4 linked regions of the Drosophila melanogaster genome follow. The protein of the gene in region 4 interacts with the protein of the main gene of each other region in a pairwise test. Each region holds a gene or a part of one and is shown on either strand. Other genes may lie near its edges.

Evidence for each region.
Region 1: the proteins of Sar1 (region 4) and CG6985 interact in a two-hybrid assay, tested with the Drosophila melanogaster proteins (one large-scale study listed by BioGRID).
Region 2: the proteins of Sar1 (region 4) and CG6770 interact in a two-hybrid assay, tested with the Drosophila melanogaster proteins (one large-scale study listed by BioGRID).
Region 3: the proteins of Sar1 (region 4) and aru interact in a two-hybrid assay, tested with the Drosophila melanogaster proteins (one large-scale study listed by BioGRID).

The regions. Positions count from the first base shown.
Region 1 is NT_033777.3:22,739,016-22,744,035, reverse strand, and holds CG6985 (uncharacterized protein), read right to left. Parts: upstream 2,887-5,020; 5' UTR 2,720-2,886; coding exon 1,940-2,719; intron 1,882-1,939; coding exon 1,282-1,881; intron 1,223-1,281; coding exon 1,169-1,222; intron 1,111-1,168; coding exon 1,039-1,110; 3' UTR 955-1,038; downstream 1-954. Other genes in the region: vret (vreteno), read left to right, coding at 1-178, 241-425, 482-675, 730-887; Dcr-1 (Dicer-1), read left to right, coding at 3,006-5,020.
Region 2 is NT_033779.5:12,044,326-12,048,444, forward strand, and holds CG6770 (uncharacterized protein), read right to left. Parts: upstream 1,794-4,119; 5' UTR 1,651-1,793; coding exon 1,441-1,650; 3' UTR 1,018-1,440; downstream 1-1,017. Other genes in the region: Plzf (promyelocytic leukemia zinc finger), read right to left, coding at 3,071-3,967, 4,024-4,119.
Region 3 is NT_033779.5:860,821-868,066, reverse strand, and holds aru (arouser), read left to right. Parts: upstream 1-2,205; 5' UTR 2,206-2,240; intron 2,241-3,006; 5' UTR 3,007-3,158; coding exon 3,159-3,190; intron 3,191-3,272; coding exon 3,273-3,669; intron 3,670-3,728; coding exon 3,729-3,872; intron 3,873-3,932; coding exon 3,933-5,504; intron 5,505-5,568; coding exon 5,569-5,748; intron 5,749-5,808; coding exon 5,809-5,901; 3' UTR 5,902-6,218; downstream 6,219-7,246. Other genes in the region: CG13950 (uncharacterized protein), read right to left, coding at 6,371-6,638, 6,710-7,246.
Region 4 is NT_033777.3:22,355,063-22,361,211, reverse strand, and holds Sar1 (Secretion-associated Ras-related 1), read right to left. Parts: upstream 4,528-6,149; 5' UTR 4,414-4,527; exon of another isoform or gene 4,165-4,413; intron 3,696-4,164; exon of another isoform or gene 3,682-3,695; 5' UTR 3,584-3,681; coding exon 3,541-3,583; intron 2,841-3,540; coding exon 2,721-2,840; intron 2,650-2,720; coding exon 2,584-2,649; intron 1,688-2,583; coding exon 1,452-1,687; intron 1,376-1,451; coding exon 1,259-1,375; 3' UTR 501-1,258; downstream 1-500. Other genes in the region: JMJD6 (jumonji domain containing 6), read left to right, coding at 1-143; rdhB (retinol dehydrogenase B), read right to left, coding at 5,087-5,263, 5,385-5,520.

The sequences.
Region 1 (5,020 bases), 380 kb from region 4:
ACTCGACCAGTCCCTAGTTTTTAATATCAAGTACTCGTCACGTGAGTACGATACCAGCAAGGGCATGCAGGTCGTGGTGATGACCGAGATCGATATTAATAGGAGCCTCAACCGCCTTTTCAAGACCATCCTAACTCCTGTTGAGCCGTCTGTCTCGGACTTGGGATACAAAGAGGACGTAAGCCAGAACTTAAAAAAACATCAAGTACACAGTTGTCATTTGCATTTATTCGGTTTCAGTGTCTTCCATACATTCCCTTGCACTGCGGAAAGAACATAAATGTAGTGGTAATGGACAACACATTCATCCAGTGCGGCTTTATCTACTGCACCTCCATAGATCTGGCTTACGAAGTCACCAAAATGCAGCGAGACATACAGGAGTATGGTGAAAAGATTGCCAAGTGCGCAACCTACGCACCGCCGTAAAGTTACTCGCCGTTTTCTTTTGTCCATTTAACTAAAGCGCTCTTTCATTTAGGATAAATGAGCTTTGCATAGCTAAGTACGAAGGCAAATGGCGTCGAGGTCTCTCTGTGGAGTTAGTAGGAGATGGTTATCCCAGCATTTTGTTCATTGACTACGGAAACATAGTGCCAACACATGTCACCGACATACGTCCCTATCCGCCGCAGTTTATCTTCCCTATAATGACCACACAGTTGGATTTAATTGGTAATTAGGCTCTCCAAAGATAATTATATTATTTATATGACTCGATTTTCGTAGGAGTGCCTGAGAAGCCCACCGATGAGCAGATCAAATGGCTGGATAAAAATTATCCCATTGGGTCCGTTATCACCTGCAGCGAAATCACTTTCGACGAGGAAACAAATAGCTACTCCACTCGCATTGAAAAACTGCAGGAGTTCTTAAGTTTGGACTAAGTTCTCAAAAGGTTGATTCCGCGAAATAGTTCAGAACTAATTATGGCCAAAAAAAAGCACAAATCTTCCAGGTTAACTCAACTGCTAAGCATTTAGTTCAACAAAATAATTTTGTTTACATTTATATTCTTGAAGTTAACGTTTTGTTTGTTTAAGTTTTTACTCTCACTTTTCTTGAATAAACCAGTTGAATACAATCCAGACTATCCGATATAGCAGTTTCCTGTAAGGTCACATTGATTTACGCAATTTAAGTTAGTAAAATGTAATACAAATCTCACCTCAAAGAAAACACGGTCAAAAGGTGGCTCACTTTTGGTCCAGTCCGCTAGATTCTATAGGTTATCAATGCAATAGGTGATTTATTAATATGATAAGAATTCGAAGTACTCACATTAGATGCGGTCGGTATAAGCTGGCTGCGGCAATTCTGAAGATCTTCTATAGAATCATCACCCATATGCCCATAGAACTGCAACTCCTCCGGAGAACCTCCGGCTGTGATGAGAGTATATATTTTGGTATCCATTGCTCCAACGGCCAGCAGTTGGTTGGCTTGCTGCCTGGAATTGTGATTATAAATAATTAGGTGTTTGCAGCGAAGAGCTCGAAGCGCCGACAAGTCACTGGTCAAAATCAAGCCAATCATTGGTTCTCCATCGGCAAGAGAATTAAATAAGTTCACTTTTTGGGGACCATCTAGCTGCGCATGGTCCAAACTATAACTCTGACAGTATCCCCTGACCAGGGTGAGGCAATCCTCACTGTTTGCCAAGATGCAGCACTTCTCGCCTCGCTCCGCCACTAAGTGATCCAGCATTACGTGTAGAAACTCGAACTTGGCGGAGTCGTAAAGTCCCATGCTTGGCCAAGGCGGCAGTATGGCGTCCAGTACCTCCATTATTTCCTTAAACACTGGATTCGTACCCAAAGTTTTTAGGAGCACAGGATGATCACATACAATTTGGAAGATTTCCTTCAACGTAGACGATTCCTGAAATACAAGTTTTTTGATTTGTTTATGCATGTAAATTGGTCTAAATCTATCTTACTGTTTTAGATGTTTGTGCATATTCAGAAACAAAGAGTAATATTTTTTTCTGCAGTTCAGCTGGAGTTAATAGACACAGATATTCCGATTGGGTGAACTCCTTGGTAGGGTTTTCTATCTTCAAAGTGTTTTGTTCATAGATTTTCTTTCCCATCGAAGTGCTGGAATCGGCGGCTGCATAGGAGACATGTTTATCTTCTCTATGTTGGCTAATTTCCAAATGCGGTGGAGCAAAGGCATCTGCCTCGCGCTTGATCTTCTTGAGCAGATGAGACCTAACGGGTGCACTGTCAGCAGGTGGTGGCGATGTGTCTGTACAACCATTCTGGGCATCTATTTTTTGGCACCAGTTGGCTATTTCCAACTGGCGCTGAATAAGGCACTCCTCGACGGTTTTAATCTCCTCCTGAATCTCGACATCCTTGCTGCCTACTTCCAGCTGATCGTTCTCCTGAAGTTGCCGCTGCTTAAAGTATGTCATGGTGTCCACAACCTTGCCGGTGTCATCCTTCAATGTTACTATGGATCCCGTGACCACCAGCGTTCCGTTGCCAGTCCACGTTTTGTGCTTTTTGGTGGTCTGATTACGCCAGAGCACATGGAAGATGCGGCTATCTTTGAGGGGATTCTCGCCCGCCCTGAATTCTCGAGGTCCCAGGCTTTGGGTGCCCCCTGAGGTGCCCCATTCGCTGGGTAGATTGTTTTTGGGCCAGGAGCAGGGTGACTGTGGTTCCTCTTTGGGAGGCGCCGCTTCGCTCTCTCGCTTTGCAGCGCGGCGCATGGAAGGAGCTTTGGAACGCCGCTTTATGGTGCTAAAGAAGAGGATTACCGGGTATAGTTCACCGTAAATACATAAGTTAATTTAAAAACTTTTGCTATCAACAAAATATAAATATACAAGGCGCAATCTATTTTCAAGCCACTTGTAAGTGTGGCCAATGAAGTGAACCTCGAAAGGTATTCCGAACCCTGGTCACACTGGCATTCTGCTGGTAGCCGGCTCTGGATGATTTTCTGATAGAAATCTCGCAGAGGCAGTGGTGTTTTTGTGAATCCCCTCAGCCACGATGGCGTTCCACTGGTGCGACAACAATCTGCACACCACCGTGTTCACGCCGCGCGACTTTCAGGTGGAGCTACTGGCCACCGCCTACGAGCGGAACACGATTATTTGCCTGGGCCATCGAAGTTCCAAGGAGTTTATAGCCCTCAAGCTGCTCCAGGAGCTGTCGCGTCGAGCACGCCGACATGGTCGTGTCAGTGTCTATCTCAGTTGCGAGGTTGGCACCAGCACGGAACCATGCTCCATCTACACGATGCTCACCCACTTGACTGACCTGCGGGTGTGGCAGGAGCAGCCGGATATGCAAATTCCCTTTGATCATTGCTGGACGGACTATCACGTTTCCATCCTACGGCCAGAGGGATTTCTTTATCTGCTCGAAACTCGCGAGCTGCTGCTGAGCAGCGTCGAACTGATCGTGCTGGAAGATTGTCATGACAGCGCCGTTTATCAGAGGATAAGGCCTCTGTTCGAGAATCACATTATGCCAGCGCCACCGGCGGACAGGCCACGGATTCTCGGACTCGCTGGACCGCTGCACAGCGCCGGATGTGAGCTGCAGCAACTGAGCGCCATGCTGGCCACCCTGGAGCAGAGTGTGCTTTGCCAGATCGAGACGGCCAGTGATATTGTCACCGTGTTGCGTTACTGTTCCCGACCGCACGAATACATCGTACAGTGCGCCCCCTTCGAGATGGACGAACTGTCCCTGGTGCTTGCCGATGTGCTCAACACACACAAGTCCTTTTTATTGGACCACCGCTACGATCCCTACGAAATCTACGGCACAGACCAGTTTATGGACGAACTGAAAGACATACCCGATCCCAAGGTGGACCCCCTGAACGTCATCAACTCACTACTGGTCGTGCTGCACGAGATGGGTCCTTGGTGCACGCAGCGGGCTGCACATCACTTTTACCAATGCAATGAGAAGTTAAAGGTGAAGACGCCGCACGAACGTCACTACTTGCTGTACTGCCTAGTGAGCACGGCCCTTATCCAACTGTACTCCCTCTGCGAACACGCATTCCATCGACATTTAGGAAGTGGCAGCGATTCACGCCAGACCATCGAACGCTATTCCAGCCCCAAGGTGCGACGTCTGTTGCAGACACTGAGGTGCTTCAAGCCGGAAGAGGTGCACACCCAAGCGGACGGACTGCGCAGAATGCGGCATCAGGTGGATCAGGCGGACTTCAATCGGTTATCTCATACGCTGGAAAGCAAGTGCCGAATGGTGGATCAAATGGACCAACCGCCGACGGAGACACGAGCCCTGGTGGCCACTCTTGAGCAGATTCTGCACACGACAGAGGACAGGCAGACGAACAGAAGCGCCGCTCGGGTGACTCCTACTCCTACTCCCGCTCATGCGAAGCCGAAACCTAGCTCTGGTGCCAACACTGCACAACCACGAACTCGTAGACGTGTGTACACCAGGCGCCACCACCGGGATCACAATGATGGCAGCGACACGCTCTGCGCACTGATTTACTGCAACCAGAACCACACGGCTCGCGTGCTCTTTGAGCTTCTAGCGGAGATTAGCAGACGTGATCCCGATCTCAAGTTCCTACGCTGCCAGTACACCACGGACCGGGTGGCAGATCCCACCACGGAGCCCAAAGAGGCTGAGTTGGAGCACCGGCGGCAGGAAGAGGTGCTAAAGCGCTTCCGCATGCATGACTGCAATGTCCTGATCGGTACTTCGGTGCTGGAAGAGGGCATCGATGTGCCCAAGTGCAATTTGGTTGTGCGCTGGGATCCGCCAACCACATATCGCAGTTACGTTCAGTGCAAAGGTCGAGCCCGTGCTGCTCCAGCCTATCATGTCATTCTCGTCGCTCCGAGTTATAAAAGCCCAACTGTGGGGTCAGTGCAGCTGACCGATCGGAGTCATCGGTATATTTGCGCGACTGGTGATACTACAGAGGCGGACAGCGACTCTGATGATTCAGCGATGCCAAACTCGTCCGGCTCGGATCCCTATACTTTTGGCACGGCACGCGGAACCGT
Region 2 (4,119 bases), on a different chromosome or scaffold from region 4:
TGATATTGCTTTGTTTGAAACCGCGGCGATAATGTTTATCTATCGATTTTGTTTTACTTTTGTAATGCGAGTTTAACGAATCTTTAATTTAGAAATACATTTAATAAAAATAAAAAACCGATTCTAAGGCACTTTTAACACGCAATATATTGCAATGTTTAATTTTATAAAAAAACAGGTTTTTCATCACCTTCTATTTGTTTGAAGTTTGGAACACCACATTTTTAGATAGATCAATGATTCAGACGAAATGCTATTTAATGAAGATAAGGAATATTTATGACTAACCAAAATGCGAATTTAAACATACATAAGAGTCTTGGAATTTTAATTGTCAATATGTTCGAACAATTTCATTAATATGCATTATAGCAAAACCACCTGATCGAGAGTCTGTTTTATTGTTTACCAAATATCAACAACGCAATTCAAAAAGCCGGCAAATGGCGTTTATAGAGAGAGAGAGAGCGAGAGAGAGGAGAGAATTCCATTAGAGTGGACCTTTCTGGAAAAGTTTGTTCGGTTTATTTTTGTACGTGTGCTTGTTTGTTTGTGAGTGGAAAATAACATAGCTTTTGTAATTTTGGACACCTAATGTAAAAATATCGTTTAGTATTGAAAGTCAATAAAAGCGGCGCAATATTCATAAATGCAACCTTACACGCAAATTTAAACCGGAAGAAATGATGCAGGAATATGTGTGTGCAAGTTTAATTACCTGTGTAACTGGTGAACTTTCAATGGAAGGTCTCGGGAATATTTCCGTTTGCAAACTAACATACATACATTACATACACAAATAAATATGTTCATACATGTTCTCTTTTTGGTCGATCGCTGTAAACAAAGAAAAAAGTCGACTGCAACTGCTTTTGCGATAATCGAGGAGCTGAGTGCAAATGAGTTCAACTAAAAGGCTATAAATATGCACAACAGCACACCAACGGCATTCAAAAAGCTCTCTCGCTTGGAAAGGTGCGCTGCAAATGCAAATGAAAATAAGACGACCAGGCTATTCAGTTTTGGTTTTCTCTTTATTTTATATGTATTACCTAAGTCAAACTTCATTATTTGAAACGCTCTAAGGCTTAGCAACTAAAACTTGCAAGTCTGAATTAGTTTAGGAATATATTAGAAGCTAAGAGTAGTATGTGCCTTTCTTTTTTTGTGTTTGTGAAATTATAAGCGAAATAAAATTATTATAATGTTCACAAAGTTTAGCGCCGCATGAAAAGCCAATGCACAATACAAATGCAATGTGTATTTCCAGCTGGCTTTTGTTTTTCTTTCTTTCCTTCCAGCAAAACTGCTGCTTGTTCTTCTTTTTCTTCTCTCCTTTGCTTTTGCTTTCCTTTTAAATTCGAAGATTTCTTTTCTCCTTTCAGCGCGGCCCCGTTACTTCTTTCTCTCCTGTTCCACCGCCTCCGTCGATGCCCTGCATCAGTTCTTGCAGGCGGCGGCTTTCTTGTTGTTGTTGTTGGTGTTCATCAGCTTGGTCAGAATCTTGCGGGAATGACCGGAGGGATCGAAGTGGTTGGTGTGCTCATTGGCCTCCCTCTTGTTGCGCTGCTTGCCGCTGTGTCCAGAGAAGATGTGCTTGTCATGGTCGAAGTTGTAGTGCTCGTACTCATCGAAGTGGGCCTCGGACATAATGGCGATTTAAGGTTGCAAAACTAACTGCGTTCTTGGTTGGTGTCTGCTTTTTGTTTCTCTGCAAACTTGCAGGCTGCTTTCCAAATTTCTCTTCTGCTTTTTTTTGTTCACTTTTCGCTGAGCTGCGAACGGAATTGAATTTTTTCGGTCGAGCAGCGGCTTTTATAGGCGCGCAAGCTTTCTGTTCCGTAACCAAAGCTCTCTCTCCGTCAGAGTTGCCGGATTTAGCTAAAGAAACTACTAGAAGGGCATTTAATTGTTGCTTACGTGTAGTTACTAAAAATATTTAATTTTTCTATAACTTTCTACTGAACTTTTACAAAATATATTTGCTCTTTTTTATGTAAAAGAATTTTTAGTTATTAAAATTCATAGTTATTGGGCCTGACAACCCTTTTGCGCTCAAGAGAGTGCCTCCTTGACAATTTTTGCTGCGCAATTTAATTTTTTGCTGTTTACAAAGTGCGCGGTAAACAAAAAAACTGAAATCGCCAAACATATTATTTCGCCTTGTTCATTTATTTTAATAATTTAAGAACTTTTAAGCATACACACGTTCCTGAGTGGTTACATAACACACACCCACCTTGGCCCTCCGCAAACGACCATCAAAGTGCATTTACCCTGCATTTGTTTCTCCACCCAATAAATATAGAATTAAATGCATCATATGTTCTGGATACACTGCTCAAAATTTGTTTATTTTTTTACACTCAACAATATTTGAATGTTAGGGCACAAGAAACAATTTAGCAATAATTATAATTCGAATAACATTTTTGATTTACAAAAGATATACTCATAATGGATATTTATTTTGGTGCATTAGAACCTGATCGGTTGACCCACTTCCCTCCCACCAGGCAACGCATTTGTTTATTTCTGAATAGCGAAAAGCTTTCAGTTTGTTTTGGTTTAATGGATTTTATATAAACAAATGTTACGTACATACATATATACATAGCCTTCTGGCGTTGATAAGGTGCTAACTATCGCTCTAGTTAGTCATTTGGCAGGTATTCGTTCTGAAAGTTCGTCTTCAAACGACGCAATAGATCGTAGTCACCATCTTAGATAAGATAGAACGGCCTCAACAATGTTGTTTCAAGAACCTGCCACAATATACCACTTTATTTACAATTCGTTGGTAGCAAATCAATCTTTAGATTTCTCGATGGTTCTTTTTTAATGGCTTTAAAAAGAAACTGGGTTTCCGTGAATATTCTAGATACAATTTTGTTGTACTAGAACTCAGAACGAGAGATCCCACGTCTCATTTTGTAAATATAGCAAATGTTCTAAACTTGCTGATACAGTCTCTTTTCAACATAGTTATTCTAAATATTTACTATTGACCTTTGCCTCACAAATCTCTTTCTCTGAGAAGTTATGAATGGGGTAACCTTCCGTTTTATTCCTATTCTACAGTCTCCTTGGGCAGTAGTGTTTTCAGTCGCTTGTCAGGATTAACATTCCTTATAGTCTTGCTCTTAACACTCTTTGGCTTCTTCTTGGGTGACGTTTCGATCACGGGAAGCTCAAAGTCATCGGGAAAGCTACTGTCCACCGTTTCCGAGAGCTCCAACTGCACCGGTTTCTCTGTGTGAACCCGCTGCACGTGCTCCTTCATTTTGTCGGAGCGATGACTGCTGAATCCACACAGCTGGCACTTGTAGCGGTTCGGACCATTCTCCGTGTGCTTGAGGGCGTGACGCTTGAGGTTTTTGCTCTGGCTGAACTTGCAGCCACAGACCTCGCAGATAAAATCGCGACCCTGTTTGTGAGTTTCAATGTGCAATTTGAGGTTCTCCTTGCGATTGGCTCGATGCTTGCAGCCTGAAACTGTGCACGCAAAGAATTCTCCGGTGTGAAGCAGTTTGTGCGACTTGAGGGCCTTCATGTGCGTGGTGCTATAGCCGCAGACGTCGCAGAGCATTTGCTTCTCGGGATTGTGGACCAGGATGTGATTGCTCAGGCCCTGCTTCCACTTGAAGCCCTTGCCGCAATGTGGACATATGTGCGGCGTTTCCGTGGAATGCTTAGGCTGATGGACGAGCAGGGCAGCTCGTGTGTTGAAGCGGATGCCGCACTGTAAGCAAAAGAAGGGCTTACGCAGATCACCAGAGTGCCGTCGTAGGTGAGTGTCGTATTCCCGCCAGTCCAGAAAGCCGACTTCGCACAGCGAGCAAATCAAATGGGAGGGCTCACAGCTGCCCATGTGCTCGATCATTTTCTGTACCTGATAGCACTTGAAGTCGCAGCCAATGCAGTAGTTCACTTTGCTGCTGGACTTTACAGCTCGCGGGTTCTTAAGCTTTAAGGAAAAGGCGAATATAAGTTACGGCAGTGGCTCAATGACATATTATCCACCTTGAAGTAACTTTGTCGATTCTCAAACACAGCCTCCGCTTTCTTTTCTGGATCTGGATTTGGTTGCGCCTCTCCAGGTGCTGGGATCTCCGTTGC
Region 3 (7,246 bases), on a different chromosome or scaffold from region 4:
CTGCCAGAAAAGGACGGAGAGAACGGCGAAGACAGGTAATAAGGAGGTGGAAGAAGAAGAGAGGATTAAGTGCTGGACTACAGTTACTTTTAATGTTTGAATTAAAATTGAAACAATGCTCGAGTGATCGCAGTTGTAACGCCTAAAACCGAAGCTAAACCCGAAAATAAGCCCGAAAGCCAGTTGAAATGCCAAGCAAACGTGACAGAGACTTGGATTATTCGTGCTAATTAGAAAAAGAATGTGCTGCTAGGTGAGAGGATGATATCGAAATGCTAACGTGATATCGATACCTGTGTGTTGTGCGTGTGTGTGCGAAGGGAGTGTATACACATACATATGAATATCACACATTTCACCGGAAAATGCGGTCAATTAGAATAATACATACAGCGAATTGAGCCTGTGTCTGTGAATTAGTGAATGAATTGAACAAAGCATTGAAAATCAATACGAAACCTGCCGCCGCTCCCACTTTTGTACATACAGTAATGCGTCGGTGAAGTAATACTCGATTGCGGGAAATCTGGAACATATACTAAGTTCAATCATTTGAAATTGGTTAGATTATTAATTTAAATAATTGCCTAAAGAGCTTCAAGGATGTTATTTTCAATTAGATTACTTATTTGAGGGTCCACTGTATATCCGCGCTCGCACATTACTGTGAAGCCTCACCTGTGTGAGTGCGGCTTATAGGCGACGTGTGTGTGTGTGTCTGAGAGAGGCTCGTGGAATATAAACAGCGCACAGTGAGAGAGGAAAACGGAAAACAGGTGGAAAAGAAAGCTTAAAAAATGCGGTCGGTCAAAAACTAAAGTTGCAGCAACAGGCGAGGGGGTGGCGGGTGCCGGGGGGCTCGAGACACGGAGACAAATACCTTTTCAAGCCGCACACACCAGCGCAAGCAAAGACGTCAGCTTATCTGCCACGCATGCGCGCGAGGGGGACGACAATAGTGTGGATCGGGGTGTCGATGTCTCTCCACCCCCCTCCAGCCCACCACCATCTAACGAGCGGGTTTCCACCCAAAGAACAGCAAAAACAACTATTGTCATTTGTTGTTTTGCCATTTGCTTCGTAAACCAAAAAGTATGCGAGATAAAATAAAAAAGCAAGTGTACCGCACGCCGCCGTTTTATCTAAATCCCAGCTGTCTGAATTATTTGAGGCTCTAACACCCCATCTCACGCTTATCAGGACCCAATTAATTATCTTCACCTGAATGGAAGCTATGCTTGGGGCATGTCTCCAGGTTTATGGTTCTTGTCGGGGAGTTCTTAGATACCAGTGCAGTTATGTATCTTAGATTGCCTTACCGAGGCTTATAATTTTCCCCTATTTACAGATGCATAGATACATATGTGTGGATTGCAAATATTTCAAGATTATAGAAGTACAAAAGTAGTAATACTTATATTATAAACATATATGTATTTCATTTAGCATAATGTTTTTGTAGATGTTTATGATGACTTAACTTAACTTCAAATCACCCAGCAGCTTTAGTACTTTCTCTAAAGCATGATTTATGCAAGCCCAACTATTTCCATGTTACCCAAGTGCGATAATGTTTATCGCGTTTCGTCATTGGCCTCTAAGCTGCTGTAGAGTTAGGAGCGAAAACACAAATCTGTCAAATTCCACAAGTGTGATGCAATTTGGGGCTTGTACGAACAGTAAAACGCTGAAATATAACACAGCGGCGCAACTTAACGAAAACAAAACATTTCCAGGGGTGTAGTGGGTCAGTGTTTTCTTTTTTACGTGCACTTCGCTTGTTTGTTTACTGCGATTTTGGCTTGTACAAGATCGTAAGCAGATAGTGCCTCCAGCTGACCCCCTCTGCAGTTTCTCTTTCACCTGTTTGCAAGTACACAAGCACCCAACACCCCCTTTCCCCTGTCCATTGACCCTGCGACACTGCTGGATTGATACACTGAAAACAATCGACAAACTTGGGGGTGTTTCTATCATGGAAAATGTTGTTAACATTTAAAAATGGTTAGAACTACATTCTAGAGACTTTCTCGCCATAGGATTATTATAATGATTTTCAATATCTTTATAAAAACAGTAGCGATTTTTGCTTAGTGTAGATAGGTATGCGACACCGCTGCCCGCGTCGCAGTCGGCGTCTGAGCCCAGCCTAAAACAGCGGAAAAGTTGTTGCTGTCACTTGAGTCGAGGGAGCGGTTTGGATAGAGTCTGCGAGGGTTAGAGCGAGAGGGAGCGAGAAAGTGTGTTTGCAAATCTCAGTTTTACGTGTGTGTGTGTGTCTTTTGCAGGTGTGTTCACTGGCTACACAGAAAAAATAAGAGAGATTTATCCGAGTGTTGAAAAGAATGTTACTGTGACATAGAACCATAGTTGGCCTAATTTTTGAAGATAAGAGCTATTACTCTACAATTACTCTCTATTACATCTACAATGCAATACAATTTGCTGCTGTTAATACAAATAAGATGAATATAATCGGAAGTAAACTATCCAAAGATATTCTCTGTGTAGTCAAAGTGGAGACACCGAGCTTAGAGGAGAACCTGGGGAAGTGGAAGTAGCGCGATTTTTGAATTCCAATGCTGATCCAAGCCAACAACGAAATGTTAAAGTTTGAGAATAATTGCGGCCATGTGCGGATCGCTTGGAGTGTGTATGCCAACGCTAGTGGAGGCTTGGAATCGGAATGCGGTCTGAGTCAGAGACGATTGGCTGCGCAATATCCAAGTGGCTTGGCGGGATTAGGGGCCTTCGGATGCAGAGGGACTTAGTCTCAGCTGCACAAAATAAACACAGCATAATGATCTAACACATACTTTAGGACCAATTTTCGTATTCGACACTCATAAGATTTCAGCTCGAAGACTCGGTCAGCGGAGGCTTTAAGGTCTTGAGAGACCAAATTGGGAACCAGACTTCCAAGGGGCTTAACCACACCCCTGCCAATAGGAAATTTAGTTTTGGGAATACTATTCTAATCAAGTTAAACATGTTTTTCGACAGCAGTCACGATATAATGTTTTAGTCATTGGAATAAGCGATTAAATGGGATTATTAAAAGCATACACATAATTCTAAATATTATTTTCAAATGACGATAGTTCAACTCGACCTAAGAAGCAAAAGTATAAGTTGGTAACGATCAAAACTTTTAATCAATGTTTAAGCTACTAAGTTCATCATTTAAACGGTAACTTATATTTTAAACGAATCAAAGACCGATATACAAAATTGTTGACGATGATGATGATGTGAAAAAATTTTATTTTTAGACGGAGCTTCAGACGTCGATCGAAGCCTGTACCGGGATTGGGAGACACCATGGTGAACCACCACTCGAACGGAGGCGGCAGTGCTGGAAACAGTAGCGGAAGCCTAAGAGGAGGCGGTGCCCATGGAGGCGGCGGCGGAGGAGGAGACTATTCCGGAGACGATCGCAGCGGAGGCGGCGAGGAGCGGGAGCGTCTGGAGAGTGACTTGCACGACAAGCCCACCTACCTGCTGGAACACCTGGCCACCTTCACGGTCAACAAGGAGTCCGGCATTGTGTATCCGGCGGACGGAATGCGTCGCCTCCTTCAGCTGGAGAAGACCACGGGTATTTGGTCGCAGAAGATGCAGCTCTGCCTGGACTATCAGTGGGTGCTAATTATGGACTATGAAACAGGGGTACGTTTCACAAACTGGGAAAGATCCTTATGGAACTCATCTTCATCCTTGCCTTACAGAACATAATCGAAAGATTCCCCGCCTCCTTGGTTCAGGAGCCCACCGCATTCACCTCGAATGACGCCATGGAGCTATACAACAACATTCTGGTCTTTATCGTATCCGGAGGCGGTGGTTCTCGCTCCGAGATGCACATATTCCAGGTGAGAATTAGTGAGGCTTCTGTCTCATGACAGTTTCATTCAAATGATTTATCCCTGCAGTCACAAAGTGTGTCCGCCGTTCACCTGGTTGAGGATCTGAAGCAGCTGAGAAGCGGCAAGATGATAACGCAGCAGCGCGGTGCCACACCCACTCAATCAGGAGGCGGAGGAGCCTCCAGCATGGCCATGATGATGAGCAAAACCTCCTCGTCCTCGTCGCATAGTAGAGTGGAGCTGCACCAGCACAGGGAGCAGCGGGCAGAGCGCGAGAGGGAGCGTGATCGAGACCGTGAGCGCGAAAGCCACCATCACATGCACCAAAGGAGCAGCATGGAACAGTATGGAATCCGTGCCGGAGTAGGAGTTTCTGGCGATGACGTTGCCCACATTAGTGGCGAGACGGATTCGGAACACGGTGGGATTGGGGGCGGTGGCGCAACGGAGCGCGATGAGACTAGCTCCACGTCCAGCGAGAAGTACGAGCGGGATGTGGCTGTGCTGAATCACTGTTTCGATGACATCGAGAAGTTCATAGCTCGTCTTCAGCACGCCGCCGCCGCTTCCCGGGAGCTCGAGCGCCGTCGTCGCAATCGGAAGTCGAAGAAAAGGGATCCGGGGGAGGGATTGCTCACTTTGAGGACACGGCCTCCCCACGAGAAGGAGTTCGTGGACATCTTTGCCAAGTTTAAGCTGTCATTTAACCTGCTGGCAAAGTTGAAGGCGCACATCCACGATCCCAACGCTCCCGAACTGGTGCATTTCCTCTTCACGCCGCTGGCTCTGATTGTGGAGGCCTCCAGCGACACGTACTACGAGTCACAGCTACCGGCCCGTGTGGTTAATCCCCTGCTGACCAGAGAGGCCATCAACCTGCTCATCAACTGTGTAACCAGCAAGGAAACGGAGCTGTGGCGCTCGTTGGGCGATGCCTGGGTGATCCCGCGAGATCAGTGGAAGGATGACGTTGGATCCTACCATCCGGTCTTCCTCGATGGCTGGTCACCGGACTATTTGATCAACGATGAACTGGAGCCACCACCAAATTCCCCGCCCGCTCATGTGAGCAAGCGCAGACTCGAGGTCCAGGCTGGATCCGGACTAAATGGTCGTGGGGGAGGCGGATACGATGACTACGACTCGGGGAACGGGATGAACATGGCCATGGGTATCGAGAAGTACACCATCCACCACGGCAACGACGGTTTAAGGGAGCGGGAAAGGGAGCGCGACAGAGAGCGGGCGGGCGCAATCAGTGCGTCTGACTTTAACGCCCGCAGCGAGCTGTCGTTCGACTCGATCGAAGGCAGGGGCGGCGGAGCAGCGGGACATGGCCATGGTCATGGCCACGGACCAGGAGCTGGACCAACCCTTAGCGCCATCACAGCTGGTCTGCAGAATCTGCATACGAGGGAATCTCGCAGTGGAAACGGGTACGGAGCAGGAGCTGGTCCGGGGCCTTCGTCGGAGTTGGGCGGTGGAGGCAGAGGCCTGCCGAATGTCAGCGACGACCAGATGCTCGAGTCCTGGCTGGAGGATCTGCAGGCGACGGGCGCTAAGATTGTGCTGGTCACCTATCCGCGAACCGCCAACAACGACAAGGAGCTTAGCGTGATGCGAGGCGAATACTTGGAGGTAAGGCCAGCACCCACGTTACCATCCTTCGTTCTGTCCTATAACCATCTCTTCGAAACTTTAGATCCTTGATGATACCCGAAAGTGGTGGAAGGCGCGCAACATGCGGGGTCAGGTGGCCCACGTGCCGCACACGATTGTAACCCCCTTCAATTTCGGGGATGGAGATGGAGCCCAGTTCTACGGGCAACAGCAGCAGCCACCGACGGGTCCCACAGGTCCGGGCAACAAATCGCGATCAGGGGTGAGTAAGGCTGGTCACTCAATTCATGATGGGACTTGCTAACCGCTCTACATTACCCAGGATAATCCCGGCATGGAACAGCGATCGCCGGATCCCACCGACATGATGCGCAGCAAGCATCTGGGCAAGAAGGGCGAGTTCCGCTACTTCTAGGATCGAGATGCGATCACCATATACATATACACATATTCCGTAGTGAGGATCTAGCGTTATAGAGAGACAGACATCAGCAGTTCCGTCTAGGATGCTAGTCCTGGTCACTAGCGATCGGATTGGCTCCAATACCTTGCACTCGCTCGCAGGAGTGTGCAAACCAGAACTAACCTTAAGACTAACCTAAGTGGAGCTCCAGACGGGAGCTGTTGAGCAGCACGTGGCTCCTGCTGAGGCGGATGCTTAAGCTGATGCTCATCCAGGCGAAAAGGGGAGGCGACGGCAATAATTTGTTTTAATAAAATTATATCCAAAGGAACCTGCCTATTGGTTGATGATTATTGAGGAGATTGTAGTTTGGAGAGCTGCTTTGCTTTATTTGGATGCTCACAAGAAGAAGTTAACTGGTGCTGTACGGTGATCAAAGCCAACGATTGAACAAAGAGCATACTACGAGAACTCGAATCGATTAAATGATGGACAACTTCTCCACGCGGGCCAGAAGCGGAGAATCGGAGTGGTACTCCAGGCTCCGCACGGCGAAGTCGCCCACTTCGTTGGTGAAGCACTTCAGAGTGGATATGGAGAAGGGGCGTCCGGGAAAGTTGTAGTAGGTGAAGTACTGCCCGTTGACGGCGATCAGGAAAGCCCGATCCCCGAGCCCAAAAGCGATCTTGAAGAGCTTTCCGCGCACAAATGGGAATTCGCCCTCGGTCTCCTCGTCGCTCAAGGCAAAACTAGAATAAGTGAGTAAAGGTGAATTCTCTTGGAGGAACTTTGCATATTGGAGTCTCGGACTCCTTTATACCTGTTGTCTTCACGCTGGTAGCTGCGTGACACGGTTGTCCGATCGAAGTTCACGTGGAACCGGAGCACCGTACGCCCGGTGTCGTTGCACTGGAAGCAGATGGAGAACTCCGTGGTCGGCGGGCCCTTGGCGATGCACTCCATGGCCACCACTGTGCCGGTTTCATACCGCCTGGGCACGTCGCTCTGGAAGGCCACCTTGTCCGGACACATGAGCGTTCTGGGGAAGACGAGCGGAAAGAGCATGCGGTGGTGGAACTGGGTGATCTTCTCGAAGTCGCCGTAGGTGCGCACGTAGTTGATTTGCTTGGGGAACTTGACGAACTCGAAGGACCCGTACAGCTGGTCGTTCACGTAGATCTCGAAGCATCGCTGCAGCACCGCCACCCGGAAGGTGAAGCTCTGGCCAGGCTGCAGCGGGTTCTTTGGGCCGTCGCACTTCCAGTTCTTCGAGATCTCCTCCTGCTGCCATCCCCCGCCCGGCTGGAACATGCTGCGGATGATTTGGCCCTCGCGGAAATTGGCCTCGATCTTCAGG
Region 4 (6,149 bases):
CGGAGGAGGAGGAGAGCGACGATGGCGGCGATTCCAACACGGACAGCGGCCAGGAGAGTCTGACGGCCAAGAAGAAAAAGAAGCGGCGCATGGCTGGCGGCGGCTCCGGGTCCGGCTCCATGGGCGGATCATCGCGTTCCTGATCCAGGGAGCGGGCCAAGCGCAAGGGCTTGCTCATGCGCCTCTTTCAACGCCAACTGATGCTGCTGAGAGGACTGCCCCGCCGCTGCCGGCTCAGTTAGCACTGAGGTCGCGATCATACTCTGCAGAGTTTTGTGTATTTTTCTACTTGGACCAGCATGTTTGCAGCTCCTGGATCCCGTGCTCGCCCTCATCGAATGCCTGCTCCCTGATTTCAATAGATGCTCCGGACGTGACTCATTAGCGTAAACCCTAAATGCAAATAAATAAATGAATCCAATATGTTTGTACATCGCTGGGTTTCATTCAAGCTCGGCACATAAATCCAATGCAAAACAACAATAGTCACCAATTTATGTATTTTACAAAATTACTTTTCTCCGTTTTATTTAGAATTCTGTCTGCAAACAAAAATGCTTTTTTATATAAATTGCTTTCCCTTTCGTATTGTATAAAAGAAACAAAGTACATCGATGACATGCAACTTAAAATTTTTAGCTAAACTAAGGTGTACCATTTATCGGAGGTCGAATCCTTATAGGGATGTACATAATGTTTTGCGGCCAAAGTAAACTATTTAGGAAATCAATAGCGACATTTACAATTCATAAACTTGAAATAAAGGTAGGTGGCTACATTTTATTGGCGAAACAGCGTTCGTTGAAAGCACATGCTCTTAAATAAATCACCTTTAATTTGCTATAATTTGTTACTCATAATTATTATTAAAAGTTTCCCTTGCGCACTCCGCGCATCCTTCAGCTCCTTACAATGTATCCCGATGTTCCAGATAGAAAAGTTGTCTTCACTTTGATGTTGTGTTCTGTTTTTCCCGCGATTTCTTGTGTGTTACAGATGTACATTGTATGGTTTTCTGTTTTTTTTTTTTTATTATTATGAAATATTTGTAATTGTTTTGTATAAATTAGAAATTGCGCACGCAGCTTCGTTTTGCTTAAGGTCTGACGGTTTGAATTGGGCTGGGTTCACATCCCTTGGGTTCTGTTCTTTCTGCGGTCTCTAATCATTTTTGGAAATTTTGTAGCCAAGTTTTCGGTTTTGAGTGTTGAGTGGTGTTCTTGAAAATATGGTGCTGGTGGTGGTTGCTAATGCTGACTTAATCGATATACTGCGCCAGCCAACGGAAACCCTCGCCGTAGCCCTGTCGCTTCAGCACGGAGCACATGAACAATTCCAGAGGACGGCCGGGCAAATCGGCGCGTGCAACTTTGCCCTGCAAGTCAAATGGATATCAATTATGTAGCAGGAGTAAGGAGGGAGGGAGGGAGGGAGGTGGTTTTGGTGCTCACCTTGCCGGTTGTTAGCTGATACAGTCCGAACACGTTTCTCAGCTCATCCTCGCTAGCCGCGCCGGGCTTATCGATTTTGTTGCCCAATATGAGCACGGGGCAGTTGGACAGCGCCTCATCCGTGAGCAGCGAATCCAGCTCGTTTTTGCTCTCCTGGAAGCGGCCACGGTCCCAGGCGTCTATTAAGAAAACGATGGCGTCCACAGCAGGGAAGTAGTCCTTCCAGACGCGTCGTGCTGCAGAAATAAGTAGATATGTCTCATAAATACAAAAGCAGCAGTTAGTCTTTAGATGGGTTAGTCTTCCGATTTTTGAATCAAGATTTGCAAGGGCACCTTAGTAGTCGCTGCTGTTGACCAACAATCTGTAATTTATATAACATCGCTAGAATAACAAAGCGCAAGTCACTGATATCAGGCACAAATCTGATATCTTTCCGCCGCTAAGAACCTTTCTACTTTAGTGTACCTAGTAGTTCCGAAGCGAAAACGATCGTCACGATGACGAGCTGCCTTAAAATGAGTGCTAGAGCTTCGTTATCAAAACAACTGGATTTCACGATGTTTGATCACTTTTCATAATGTTCATATTTATATACATATATCAACTGCATGTATGCGAGTTTTTCGTTTCTGTTTGTTATCTACATAGAGAATGTTTGCCTTCATAATATTAATAATAAATACGTCGCCTATATGTGCACAGTGGTAAGGAAGATAGTATTTGCGAAAATCAACAAGACACTAATTGCTTTCTAAACATAAATGAACATATTGATTGTATGCAATGGGTTAAATATTCTAGTATTCTGAGGTCTTCATAATCACAGTTGAGATAAGATGATAATTGAGATCTCTGGATGAGCTGCTTGTGACCACTGTGGTGGCATTGCTTCGAGTGTGTGGCGCTGATTGATCGCAACAAATGCTACGAGTGTAAGACGCACTGGCTGTATGGGTGACCTGATGCGCTATATTTCATGCTGATTGTCGTGGATCTGGCGGCTGCGCTTGCTTAGCCCTGCGATATTTGCATACTGGTCTATATTTAGTCGTGGGCACGTACGGAAAATAGCAACGATTTGGATGCACATTCACATTCCCCTGAGCTCTGGTCAAGATTAGGCACTTACCCTGAGTGTGGCCACCCAAGTCGAATGTAGTGAAGCGCATGTTGCCGATGGACAGCTCCTCGGATGCTGCAAGTCAATCATATTAGTTAATTAAAGTCACACACATAACCACTATTTAGTCCATGAAGGAAACTCACTTGGATGCAGTGTGGGCACATGCTGCGCCAGCTTATCATCTTTGAGCATATGCAAGAGTGTGGTTTTGCCAGCATTATCCAGGCCCAGGAACAATAATTTGCCAGACTTTTTCCACAGACCTGAAAACGAGAAAGTGTGTTGAATAGCCTTTTGACTTACGCGTCATCAATTAATATACGCAGCTAAACTAACACTAGTGGCGGCTCACTTGTGTTTGCCCAGCCACAGACAGCCGAATATACATTTGAGGTCGAGACAATAGCTCTTGGACTTCGGGCTAATTATTACCTTTGCTACCCAAAATGTTCGGCTATCATTAACCTGATTAAAGATCAAGCTATAACAAAAATGCGCTTATAACAACTGCTATCAGTTTGGCCTGCACTGTAGAACAGTACTTTTCGTATGGAATAATTTTAACTTTTAGCATTACAAAGCAAATAAAAGTGTAGCAGCCATCTGGAAGCGAGGAAAACCCTATCAAAAATGTCTGCTTAAATAATTGTGGCTGAAGAGTACATGGCTATGCAATCAAAATACCTTTTACAGAAGTGTATATTGTATATGCACCCTAGAGTAATGCATATTCAACGCGCATTTGTTGTGATAGAGAGACCTAATGGAAAGTTATAAGCTTTCGACACCTTATAGACACAGTTTAACCTCTAGATTTCGAGATAATCGCACGTTTAGAGCTATCACCACGACCTCCGCTGTACAGCCGTCGAATTTGGGTTTCTTTTGTGCGGCTGCCTTGTTGGCACTCGTTCAAGAAACGCCGCCCCAAGGCACAAGGTCGGCAATGGCGACGTTGCTTACCCAGGTATCCCAGCACTCCGGTGAACCAGTCCCAGATGAACATCCTGATGGTTTCGTGTGGCTATCGGTTGCGGGTGATTGGCTCCAAGAGCAGCTTGTGTGTGTTTATTGTGGGGGGAAGAGAGCTGCTGGGCTAGACGGCTGCCGGATCGAAAAGAGATATGGCATGGATAATGGGTTAGTGCGCATTTCGACTCAAGTTCAATGTCCAGCCACAGAAACACAATAAGAACAACAGCAGCGGCAGCAACAGCGGCTTGGTGTATAGGAAATCAATTTTACGGCGGCTCAACTTCCGGAACCTTGACACACATACAACAACACGCACACTCGAGCGGCGGGGACCTTGCGGATATAAGGAAGCAAATTCCTCCTGGCGGCGAAACATTCACTTGGGCCCATTATTTAGTTAATTAGGTTAAAACCTGTTCTTTGTCAACTGGGCAGCACTTTCTTTATTTCATTCTTTCTCTGCCTCCTGCCCTCTCGCTCGCTCACTGTCTGTGTGTGTGTGTGAGTGGCACTGGGTGTGCGCGTGTGTGTGCGTGTGCTGCCTGTCTGTGTGCAACTACGTGGTAACATGCATTATATTATACTTTATAATATCATTTCACGTTGGAGCACATTTCGTAATCACACTTTGGACGGCAGGTGCACGCCGATCTAAGCCGCACCCTCGAAAAAAGCATAAAAAGGGCGCAGACATCCGGACTTCCGATTCGAATTCGAATTGAGATTCGGATTTTGCACTACGTGGACGCATTTCGGAATTTAACTGCCCGCGGCTGCGGGTAGCTTGCGTTTGATATGGACTTTTACTTGCGCACTTGCTGTTGCCGCCGCGCGTTCGTATCGGTATTGGCGGCTGGTTACCGTGCGTCTGCTGTGTGTATTAATTGTCAACCTAATTCGCTTTTTCTACCTCACGTTTTTATTGGAGTCAGTTCAGTTTTTTTTAATCATAAGCCCCAGTGTGACCAATAAGCGAAAGCTGTGAAATATCGATGTTTGTTTCGTACCATCGATTTTGGGGGTAGCACGAGTAATCGATGTTTTGGTGGATAACTCTGCTAGAGCGAAGCGAGCCAAATCAAGAGTGGTTGTTGTACTCGCTAGCGATAGCTGTACAGCCCTGGTCTTTTGACTCAATCTGGCAGCCCTACCGCAAGGTGGCAACTCCACTACATGCGCGGGCAATTCCAATTCAAATGAATGAATGTATAAATGCATTCATAATGTTGCCAAACTATTTACACGCATTTAATGTTATATCGATTAGAGAATATGCAAAATATTATAAATGTTTAATTATCGTTTTATTGCATTTTTATGTTATTTGTAATAAGATGTTAATACAGATGTTATCTACAGATAACATCTTAAAGAATATAAAGTGTCGAAACAGTTGCTTGAAATGCAATAATGTAATTTTTTATATTTAAAAATATGTACATTTGTTCTCTTATTACATAGAAGAACATATACAAAATGTACAAATAATATCGTTTTGGGTAAAATGTAATTCTCTTGAAATTCAAACTAAAATTCAATCGACCTTCCGCATCTGCTGCAGGATGATGTCCTCCACCTGGACGCCATCGGGAGTGTTCAGCGCATACAACACGGCCTTGGCCACATCCCTTGCCTGCAGTTTGGGCAGCTCGGCTACCGCCTGCGAGTAAACACTAAGGAAATCCGTGTCTACCATGCCCGGGCAAATGCTCTGCAATGGAGGGATAAAAATGGAGAGGGTAACCAATGAGCAGACGCGTCATGTTTGCCGCATTTCCCGAGGATTAAGATGGAGGATGAGGCGCGCCATGTATGCACTGCATTTAACTTACCGTTAATTTAATATTTAATTTGAGAAAATGTATTTCCTGGCGCACCGTTTGGCAGAGGGCCGTAATTGCATGCTTCGTGGCCGGATAAACGCTGAATAAGGGCACCGGCACTTCCGGAATCCGATGGCCAAGCACGCTGTTGTCAAATGTTGTCCATACACATGTCCAGAGCAGAGCGAAGGAGGAGGCGGAGGAGTAGCATGAGCATCGTCCACATGCCAAGGTATGGCGGTGCGTCGGGGATGGAAAATAAAGACAAAGCGGGGTCACAAACGGCGGGTGTGCGTGGGTAAATAAAGTCAACACAACGGATTTCAAGCACTTAAAACGGCAACAAAAAACAAGTCGCCGTCGAACACCTACGGAAAATGATGGTCAGCAGCTGACGGGACATTTTTGCGTGCATTTTATGCAAACATTGCGTAAACTTCTTTTAATTTTACCCCCACACCTGACGAAAAAGCAAGAAAAGACTTAAAAACTTGTGCTATAATATTTTGATTGAATGCGAAATTTTTGGAAAAATAAGGGAATTATAAGTTACAACTAGTTTTTATATTTGCTACAAGATATTTAATTTAATTAAACTGATATTTTTATGAAGGCATTCATTCGAGTATCCTTTTTTTCGAGTGCATTTGGAAGAGCACGGGGTGGTACTTACGGCTCTGAGCCGGGGGCATTAAATGCAAACAATTGCCAACGTTGCTGCAGATGCTGGGCGGCCGGCATACCCTTGCAGTTTTTAATTAATTAAGTCTTAAT